2 linked regions of the Sus scrofa genome follow. The protein of the gene in region 2 purifies or fractionates together with the protein of the main gene of each other region. This does not show direct contact. Links are inferred from orthologs where the notes say so. Each region holds a gene or a part of one and is shown on either strand. Other genes may lie near its edges.

Region 1 (5,892 bases), on a different chromosome or scaffold from region 2:
CTACCGCCGCGACATCGTGCTCAAGAGCGGGGGGCGCAAGTACACGTACCGCTTCGGAGGCCGAGTGCCAGGCCTAGCCTATCCCGACCGCATGGGGGACGGACAGGGAGCAGCGACCCAATAAAAATATCTGGTCAAGCCTTGTTGCCAGTGCTGTTTGCATCCTTCCCACTGGTACCGACTAGATCCTCCAGGAAACCTGTGCTCACCACCACACCCACATCGTTCCCCGCTTCCACCCCTGTGATCCCAAGTCACACCGTGACCAAAACAGACACAGGACCCTTAGGGGACCTACTGTGTGTTCACTGTGTGGTGGGCCATGCAGAGGAATCAAATTCAGTAGCCACTGGCCTGCCTGCTTTGTGCCTGCCCTGTACTGGGACTTGTACATGAAACAGACACAATCAATAACTTTCGAATTTACCCACTGTGTCCCCCTTTGAGAGGACTCAAGATTCCAAAGAGGGCTTACTGTGTACCCTCCCTGTGCCGGGGCCATCAGCGAATTAGACCTGGTGCTTGCCCCCCCAGTCACCTATTCTGTTTTCCTACTTCAAGCTAAGGGCCATAGAACTTAGATCCCAAGGAAAGTCTACCCTGTTCTGGGAACAACTGAGCGCTTAAAGAGAGCCTACTGTAGGCCATGCTGGGGATTCAGTAATGACCAAGACAACCTGGAACCCTGCCCTTAGAGAGTTCACAGTCCAGTGGGGAGACAAAATCATTACCAGATGGCAGGGACAACCCACCGTGGTCAGGGCTGGGATGGGAAACACAGAGGGTGGGGGTGTGGGTGTGGGTTGTTCTCGGGGAAGACTTCCTGGACCAAAAAATAGCTGATATGAGAAGTCAGGTGGGCAAAGAATGTTCCAATGGGAGGAAACAGCATAATCAAAGGCCTGGAGGTAGGCCTCACATCACTATTCAAAGACCAAAAATATCAATGTGACGGAGTCCCGTCATGGCTCAGTGGTTAACGAATCCAACTAGGAACCATGAGATTGCGGATTCAATCCCTGGCCTCGCTCAGTGCATTAAGGATCTGGTGTTGCTGTGAGCTGTGGTGTAGGTCACAGATGCGGCTCAGATCCCACATTGCTGTGGCTCTGGCGTAGGCTGGTGGCTACAGCTCCGATTAGACCCCTAGCCTGGGAACCTCCATATGCTGTGGGAGCGGCCCAAGAAATGGCAAGAAGACAAAAAAAAAAACAAAAAAAGTATATATTTATATATATATATCTCAACGTGGCTGGAGGGAGGACCATGGGTCAGTTCACAAAGGATCTGCGGACAACTATAAATATAATAAAATTCATTGAATTAAAAAAAAAAAGGATCTGTGAACCATATTAAGGAGCCTGGACTTTGTTAGAGGGTTTGGGGGGGGGGTTAAACAAAGAAATTTGGGCTTTAGGAAGATCTCATTGAAAGGGATGAATGCAGGCATGTAAACAAATAATTACAATCCTGATGAACACAGAATGCAGGAGGCCCCCAATCCAGTTAAGCCTGACACTGCCAAGTATTTTATTGGGTGGCTACTTGCTCTCCGTCCCCCATGCAGTTAGGATGGTGTAGGCCTGGTACGCAGCCTCCAAAACATAATGTGCCTTCTAAGGTTTGGGGAAACATGATAATAAGCAGGAAGATGGAGTCTGGGCATTCCTCATATAGGGATGAACGACCCTGGGAGAAAGAATGGCTTGTTTTTAATTCCTTAAGAATGATTTGTTTGCAATCCCCAGTAATTGAATTTCCAATTGGAAGTTCCAATTTTCTTTTCTTTTTTGCTTTTTAGGGCCGCACTGGTGGCATATGGAGATTCCTAGGCTAGAGGTCCAATTGGAGTTGCAACCGCCGTCCTAGCCACAGCCATAGCAACGCAGGATCCAAGCGTTGTCTGTGACCTACACCACAGCTCACCGCAACGCTGGATCCTCAACCCACTGAGCAAGGCCAGGGATCGAATCCGCAACCCCATGGTTCCTAGCTGGATTTTTTTCCTCTGTGCCATAACGGGAACTCCTGGAAATTCCAATTTTCCAATTGACCCAGTAATAATCATAACGAGAATAGGGATTTTTGTGTTTTCTTCAGCTATGCGTCCCAACACTTAATAGAAATATTTGGCACAGAGTAAACGTTCAATAAATGATTATTGCATGAATAAGAGTATTTCCGTTGGGATAGTTTCTCCACAGGGGGACTCTCCCTCCAGGACAGGACCCTGAGCCCTTCTCTCTCGGTAAGGACGGGGAGGAGACGAGACTGCGCCCACGGCTTGGAACCGCTTCAGCTCACGATTGGGCTGGGAGTGAGGACGAACAGGCATTCGGACCAATAGAAGGTCGGAGTTCTCTTGCATGGGCGTGGCCTAAGTGCTTCTGGACCAGCCCAGCCCCGCGGAAGACTCCCTTGTACCGCGTCTCGTCCCGCTTCCGGCCGGTCTTTATTCCGCTTCCGGTCCGACGCCGGCGTCTTTGCTGAGGGTCACATTGAGCTTCCAGCGGTTTCAGGCGCGACTCTAGGTGAGTGTCGAGGCCTCGGGGGCCTGGAATCCCAGCCTGGGGACTCAAGAGTCCGACCCTTGCTTCCCAGGGAATGAGATGAGGTTTCCGGCCGACGGCAGCAGGCCTCCCGGGCCCGGGGGGGTCTCTTCAAGTTAATAGTCGTAGCTAACGATTATTTAGTTTTTCCTCAATGCCTGGAACATTCCAGGCGACTTACATTGATTCATTTAATCCTCCCTCCAGCTCTATGAGGTAGGGCCTGTGATTATCCCTTTTTGACAGGGAGGCAACCGCAGTTCAGACAGTAAGCGGTTTAGCCAGAGGTCAGGATTTGGACCTAGTAGTTTGCACTGCAGGGCTTTTAATCACCAGATGTACCCCCTGTGGTTTGCCTGGGCTGTGGCATGGCTTCTTGGTGTCTGGCGCCTCCACCCCCTTAGACGTTGGAGGGGCCACAGCGGTACTCCCAGTCTACCGCACTCCTGAAATCGGGTGGATCTCGCTTCCAAAATAATTCTTCCGATCGTGTGTGTGTCCCAGCTGCTGGAGTTCCAGATAGCCCCGCTCCCGGAAAGACTCCATTTCGATGGCCCCGATCCCTACCACTACCTTGAGTCGCTTGGATTTAACATCAGTCCACTCACCTCTATGTAATCCCAGGACTTCTCTAATCATCTGGAATAGAGGCAATTTCTTTCAGGTTCCCTGACGAAAACTGTATCACCTCATTAGAAATTCTGTCATAGGTTTTTAACTCTGGGTTCACAGAATCCATAGAATTCAAGGGGTTCTAGTTCTTGAATGGGGGAAATTTTACATCTATATTTTTACTAATCTCTTATTGAAATGTAGCGTTTCCTTCAGTTAGGAGTGGAGGCAGTGGCCATAGTCGTATTAGCATCATTAAAACCACAGGTCATCTTATATCCCATTACAGTTGTAGATGTCACAAAATATCATTTTCATTCCTTTTTTTTAAGGCTGCCCCCAGGGCATATGGAAGTTCCCAAGCTGGGGGGGTGGAATCGGAGCTGCAGCTGCCAGCCTACACCACAGCCATAGCAGCTCAGGATCCTTAACCCACTGAGCAATGCCAGGAATCAAATCCACATCCTCATAGATTCTAGTGGGGTTCGTTACCACTGAGCCACCACGGGGACTCCCTCACTCATGACTATTTCGAAATTGTGTAGTTAAGTCCTCAGCTGCATATAACGGTTTTCTTTGTGATCCTTTGCAACTTCTAAATACATTTAAACATATTCTGAGAAAGGGTTCATTAGATCCCTGGGGAGTTCATGGCAGGGATCAAGATTAAGAACCCCTGCAGTGTAGGTTATGTCAGTGATGGAGTGCAGCTCCACGGCATGTGTGCTCTCTGACCTTGGGATGTCACTTAAACACCCTGTCTCTTTGTGAAACAGTAATAGTAATAGTTCCTGCCTTTTAGAGTGACTGTAGGAATAAAGCATCCTTGCCAATAGTCAGCACTCGGTGAGTGTCAACTAGTGTTATTTTGGGACAGATAAGGCCTGATTTTACCAGAGAGTTGAGCCCCCCACCCCTACCCTGCTGTGACTTCCACACTTTGCGTGTTCTTGCCTGCCTTTCATCTCTGTGTGCATGTTGAAAGGAAGGGGGCCTTGGCCTGGCTTGACTTGGTCACACCCAGCCTGTTCTGCATCCAGCCTCCACTGGGCCTGAGTGGACTGAGAGCCCTACCAGCATCCATTCTCTTTGGCCCCAGGAGTCAGCACTATGGCAGAAGACATCCAGACCAAAATCAAGAACTACCAGACAGCTCCTTTTGACAGCCGCTTCCCCAACCAGAACCAGACCAGGAACTGCTGGCAGAACTACCTGGGTGAGCAGGACATGGGTTGGAGCGGGCGGGGGCAATGTTGACCTTCCCCTGGTCCCACACCTCAAGTCACCTACCTCTTGCCTCCTCCTAGGGGTCCTTCTGCATCCTAGGCCACTTTTATTCTGAACATTCCTACCTTGCAGGGCCCACGCCCCTCCTCACCAGCTGTGTGTTCAAGATCTGGGCCAGTGGCACAAACTTTGGTTCCCGCAATGATTTTGTGTTTTGTTTTGTAAAAAACAAAAGGTTTTTTTTTTTTTTTTTGGCCATGGCATGCAACAGTTTGACGTGGGATATGGGATCGCAGTTCCCAGACCAGGGTTTAAACCCAGGTTGCAGCAGTGAAGCTCTGAGTCCTAACCACTAGACCACCACGAAGCTCCCCCTCGATGGTGTGTGTGTGTGTGTGTGCGCGCGCGTGCGCGTGTGTGCATGCGTGCATGAAATGTACATACATACAGGAGGAACATAAAACATAATGTACAAGTAAATTAATAAACTCGAATTCCCCCATGAAACTGTAATTTGGAAGAAACCTAGATGCTGCCAGCACTCAGAGCTTCCCTGCCTACTGCACTCCCTGTCTTGAAAATAGCGCTCTACCTCCCCACTGAGAGGGCGATCACATTTTGGTTTTATCACCGCTTTTGTCTCTTTGTGAATGTTATAAATACTGTGTGTATTCCTTTGTGTTTGGATTTCTTCAACAGTTTTCAAGATTCATTGATGCTGTGGCATGTATTTTGCTTGCTCTCTCTCTCTCTTTTTTTTTTTTTTTTTTTTTAAGGGCCACCCATGTATATGGAAGCTCAGCCAGGGGTTGAATTGAAGCCACAGCCACAGCAACATGGAATCCAAGCTGCATCTGGGACCTACACTGCAGTTCATGGCAATGCCAAATCCTTAACCCATTGATCAGGGCATCGAACCTGCATCCTCATGAATACTAGTCAGGTTAATTACTGCTGAGCTATAGCAGGAACTCCTATATTTTGCCCATTTTTACTGCTGTACAGTTTTTTGTTTTGTTTTGTCTTTTTGTCTTTTGTTGTTGTTGTTGTTGTTGCTGCTATTTCTTGGGCCGCTCCCGCGGCATATGGAGGTTCCCAGGCTAGGGGTTGAATCGGAGCTGTAGCCACCGGCCTACGCCAGAGCCACAGCAACGCGGGATCCGAGCCGCGTCTGCAACCTACACCACAGCTCACGGCAACGCCGGATCGTTAACCCACTGAGCAAGGGCAGGGACCGAACCCGCAACCTCATGGTTCCTAGTCGGATTCGTTAACCACTGCGCCACGACGGGAACTCCCCTACTGTACAGTTTTATATTTTATTCACAGACACATGGTATCCAGTTTGGGGTTCAAGAATCACGCTTGTATAGACATGCTTATAAATGTAATTTGGTATCCACGTGAATGCTTTTCTCTCTAGGGAGTGTGCCTAGGAGTGTAATACATGGAGTAATTTTTAGATTAATTTTTAGATTAATTTCCTACTGGTTTTAATAAATCA
Region 2 (4,960 bases):
ATACTAGTCAGGTCTGTTACTGCTGAGCCACAGTAGCAACTCCAGGAATCATGACATTATTGAATAGCTCTAATTTACATTAAAAAATTAGACTATAAACTTAAAACTTTTAAACATTATTAGCATACCATGCTTACAATAGACTTTTTATTTTTTTGTCTTTTTAGCTATTTCTTGGGCCGCTCCCACGGCATATGGAGGTTCCCAGGCTAGGGGTCGAATCGGAGCTGTAGCCACTGGCCTACGCCAGAGCCACAGCAACGCGGGATCCAAGCCGCGTCTGCACCCAACACCACAGCTCATGGCAACGCCGGATCCTTAACCCACTGAGCAAGGGCAGGGACCGAACCCGCAACCTCATGGTTCCTAGTCGGATTCGTTAACCACTGTGCCACGACGGGAACTCCCGACAAAAGACTTTGACAATCATTTCCAAAGTGGAAAAGTCACTGGGGTCTATGAAGAAAGTATGATTTGACTTTACAATTTTTGCCTGTTTTTCTAGTCTACTTTTTGTTTTCTAATACATTAGCACAGGAACACAGATATATAACTTATACAGGCCCACACTGGGGTTGCATATGTAATTTTTTTAAGACAGAATGCAAAATCTATTATATTTGGACATCAGTAGCGGAAAAGGGCTGTTTCCTAATCCTGGCAAACTAGAAGGTGAATGCTCTCCCATTTCATTTGGAAACTTTTGAAGCTGCAGAGCCAGTCTGCTTGTACTATTTGCTTCAGGTAAAATAAAGTCACTGCTGCTTGTGTCTCGTTCCATTCCATCCTTGCAAGGGAGGCCTTGCTAGGGCTTTAACCCACAAAGGCAATATAAATATGACCATCCTACTGTTCTACTATTCTAAATGATTAAAGTGGCTTCTCTGAGCTCAGGACGCAGTTAACTACTAACTGAAAAGTATCCTAAAAGTTTAGAAAGAATTGTAACAGATACATAAATTCAGCAGTTATTAGGACAAGGTTTAGAATTCCAAAACTCCAATGATATTTATAATAGATATTTATTTAAAGTAATACATTTACAGCTCAGATAGGTCTACATTGTACATTTCGGGTTTAACCAAGTTCATAAAAATAGTTTGACGACTGCTGCATCCACAGATTTAGACTATACGATTATTTCTTTGCCCATTCTTCTCTTTCTTTTCTTTCCCGGATAACCTCTTTCAGATATGGTTCAAGGTAGAATTTATCCTAAAGAATGAATAAAAGAAAAATAATATAGACTCATCATATACCATAAATACTTAATAGATCTTTAACAAATCTATCAAAATTAAATTCCAACTTAAGAAACTATATTCTCAAGCAGTCTAAAAAATGTAAAAACTCATAAAAGATATTGTAATAAACTGCTTTGATAGATTATTACAAGAAAGTCTGTCAGAAAAGAAAAAAGAATGAGAATCTACAAGCTTTGGCCTCATTTCAGTGCAGTCCCAGGTTTAGGATTTTCTTCATAGAGTTCTTATTGAGCTAGAAGGCCACTCAATGGAATCACAGGAACACCATTGTTTTCATCTGAGCAGAAAGTATGCAGGAGAACAATGGCCCGGAAGGCAGAAGACCTGGATCCTAGTTCTGGATCCTCTATCAAGGACATGCTTGGCAATTTTGGAAGTCACTTCCCCTCTAAGACTCAATGTGTCCGTCTCTAAAATGGAGCTAGCATTTGCTTTACTAACCTCACCAGATTGTCCTAAGGATACTGATTTGACACAACTTTAAGAACTCTAAAGCACTACACCAATGAATGTCTTCTCTGTGTCCAATACTCAATTCCTTTTCTTTCCTTTTTTTTTCTGGCTGATCCCAAAGCATATGGAAATTCCCAGGCCAGGGATCAAATCCGAGCCCTACCTGTGACCTACGCCACAGCTCCGGCAACACGGATTCTTAGCCTACTGCGCCAGCTGGAGATTGAACCCGGGCTGCCACAGAGACAATGCAGGATCCTTAATTCACTGCACCACAGCAGGAACTCCTAAGAGTCCATTCTTAACGGCCATTATCAGATACATAAAAGCTGTACTACCTCCTCATATTTTGTCCACTGCTCTTTAGGCAAGATCTGCTGTCTCATAGTCAGGTCCAGTGCTCTCTTAATGCGAAACACCCTGTCGTTATAAAGGTTCTCAGGAAGCCTTCTTATGGCTTCTTTTACATCGTCATCCTCATATATTGTATCATCTCGCATTAAGCCTATGATAAAAAAACAAGAGTGTTTGATTGAATATGCATCTTAAAAATAACGAGTAGAATATCTTTATGACTTAATAACTTAATTTCATTCACCCAACGGGCAAAATATCAAGAGTTAGGTATGATGGAAACTCAATGCATTTCATACACACTAATGGGTTATTTCTTAAATGGTACTGTGGAAACAATACAAGCTTTTTAAAATCTACTGCCATAAAATTCACACTTTATCTACAGTAATTTAAAAAACATTTAAAATGTCTACCTTGTTTTTATTTTTTTTAATTTATTTTTTATTTTTTGTTTTTTAAAGGTCACACCCGCAGCATATGGAGGTTCCCAGGCTAGTGGTCTAATTGGAGCTGCTGCTCCTGGCCTACGCCAGAGCCACAGCAACACCAGACCTGAGCCGCGTCTGTGACCTAGACCACAGCTCACAGCAACGCCAGATCCTTAACCCACTGAGCGAGGCCAGGGATTGAACCCGAAACCTCATGGTTCCTAGTAGGATTCATTAACCACGGAGCCACGATGGGAACTCCAAAAAGTGTCTACCTTGTTTTTAAACACATATCAATAAACCACATCTCTACTTTCTTTTACTTTAATTCTGAGATCAAGGTATTAAAGAATCTTAAAATGACAGTGTTAAGGAACCAGTAACATTTCATGATGCTTCAATTACAACAGATGAAGTTCATAGCAAATTATGAAATTCCAAAAAAGTTCAGGCATCAAACAATTGTAAAGATGTCAGACAATATTAACATTTGAAAAATCTCTTCTTTCAAAGTTCATATAACTTAAATTTTAAAATGCAAAGTGGAGGAATTGAGAGGGGGAGCATATAATAACAAAAAGGTTCTGCTACCATATTTCAAGAACAGAAATCATTTCCACCTCAAACATTTGAGACAATTCCATCCTTCTCTTCTCAAAATAATAAAAAAAGGAAATGGACTTAAAAAATGAAATGTAACCTATTATTTTTTGCCACACCAACATCATATGGAAGTTCCCAAGCCAGGGATCAATTCTAAGCTTCAGCTGTGACCTACACCCCAGCTGGGCAATGCTGGATCCTTAACTCACTGTGCCAGGCTGGGGTTCAAACCCACACTGCAACAGAAATAACGCCAGATTTTTAACCTGCTGTGCCACAGTGAGAACTCCCAGTGTGACCTAATTTTTTTAATTTTCTAATGTACACAGGTGCAATTAATTAGCACATTTTGGGGATCCATAATAACGCTTGCAAAAGCACTACTCTCGGGGGGGGGGGGACAGAGGAAGAAAGAAAGCACAAATACTTACCCAGTTTATTAAACCCGGCGGCATTATAATACCATTTTCGTATACCCTCCAGCCACTTGCTTGATGCTGCAACTGATTTTATCATACCATTAGTTGCTAACAATTCACGTATAGTATACAGTAAGCCAGAGAATGAAAACAGGAAGGAATTTCTTTTAAAAGCATATACTCTACATATTACAGATAACTTCTTATTTTATCTATGAGCAAGAGTGACTGCAGCCAAAAAATTGGGAAGTCATGGGAAAAAAGGGTAAACTCAAATAACTAATGTACAAAAGATCTATAGACACAATTACAGCCCCTAGATATCTACAGGGGATTGATTCCAGGACACACACACACCCCGCCAACCAATACCAAAATCCAGAGAGCCTCAAGTCCCTTATGTAAAATAGTGTAGTGATAACTAAGCACATCTCCCTGTATACTCTTTTTTTTTTTTTTTTTTTTTTGCTTTTTAGGGCTGCACCTGAGGCATATGGAAGTTCCCAGGCTAGGGGTCAAATCAGAGCTGCAGCTGCCTGCCTACACCACAGCCACAGCAATACAGCAACGCGGGATCTGAGCCACATCTGCAACCTACACTAAAGCCCACGGCAATGCCAGATCCTTAACCCACTGAGCAAGGCAAGGGGTCGAATTCGAAATCTCATGGCTCCTAGTCGGATTCGTTTCTGCTGTACAACGGGAACTCTGTCATGTATACTTTAAATCATCTCTAGATTGCTTATAATACTTAATGCAAAATAAATGGTACGTAGATGGTTGTAAATCCAAAGCAAATGCTATTTCTATTTCGAACTTTCTGGAATTTTTTCCCCAAAATATTTCCGATCATGAGGGTGGCTGAATCCCCAGTGTGGAACCAGTGGATGTGGAGGGCCAACTCTACTGCCGCTCCAGCTTCTCAAAGTCCATTATCCCATTCCCTTCTGTTCCCCTGTTACCATCAGAACTGAAGGGGTGGGAGATGGAAGGGAAACTGGGAACTCGGAACTTGCCCATCATTTGTAGTTTCAGAAACAGATTACAGAAAACAAATGTAAACTTTCCAAGGGAGTTGGAGCTGTATGAAAAGGTGAGATTTCAAGATACGCTGGCAGATTTAAATGAGCCCCAGCCATATTTTTATTCCATATTACCTTTATGTCACATGGCCACTCTCTTTTAAAATACATATGTATTTCTGGGAGGGCTGTGATAACATTAGTAAGTCACTTACTATTAAGGAGGACAAGTAAAACAAGCACATTATCCTCCGCCCAAGTAGCTAACTTTCCACCGAGGGAATGGATATTTGAGAACAGATGAGAAGAAACAGGTAATGTTAAAACTCTTTGGGGGTAGTTTCCATTGTGGCTCAGTGGAAACGAACCTGACTAGCATCCACGAGGATGCAGGTTCGACACCTGGCCTCACT

What was found. Proteins that work in one complex are often made in the same cells at the same time.
Region 1: the proteins of UQCRB (region 2) and COX6B purify together in Homo sapiens (affinity purification with mass spectrometry; 3 studies listed by BioGRID and IntAct, counting the BioPlex papers as one, with this or other methods). This does not show direct contact. The link is inferred for Sus scrofa from reciprocal best matches to the Homo sapiens genes UQCRB and COX6B1.

Annotation. Positions count from the first base shown.
Region 1 is NC_010448.4:45,089,453-45,095,344, forward strand, and holds the start of COX6B (cytochrome c oxidase subunit 6B1), read left to right. Parts: upstream 1-2,376; 5' UTR 2,377-2,531; intron 2,532-4,146; exon of another isoform or gene 4,147-4,260; 5' UTR 4,261-4,271; coding exon 4,272-4,377; intron 4,378-5,892. Other genes in the region: ETV2 (ETS translocation variant 2), read left to right, coding at 1-124. UniProt on the Homo sapiens protein: Component of the cytochrome c oxidase, the last enzyme in the mitochondrial electron transport chain which drives oxidative phosphorylation.
Region 2 is NC_010446.5:40,405,103-40,410,062, reverse strand, and holds the end of UQCRB (ubiquinol-cytochrome c reductase binding protein), read right to left. Parts: intron 3,610-4,960; coding exon 3,538-3,609; intron 2,224-3,537; coding exon 2,057-2,223; intron 1,216-2,056; coding exon 1,138-1,215; 3' UTR 983-1,137; downstream 1-982. UniProt on the Homo sapiens protein: Component of the ubiquinol-cytochrome c oxidoreductase, a multisubunit transmembrane complex that is part of the mitochondrial electron transport chain which drives oxidative phosphorylation.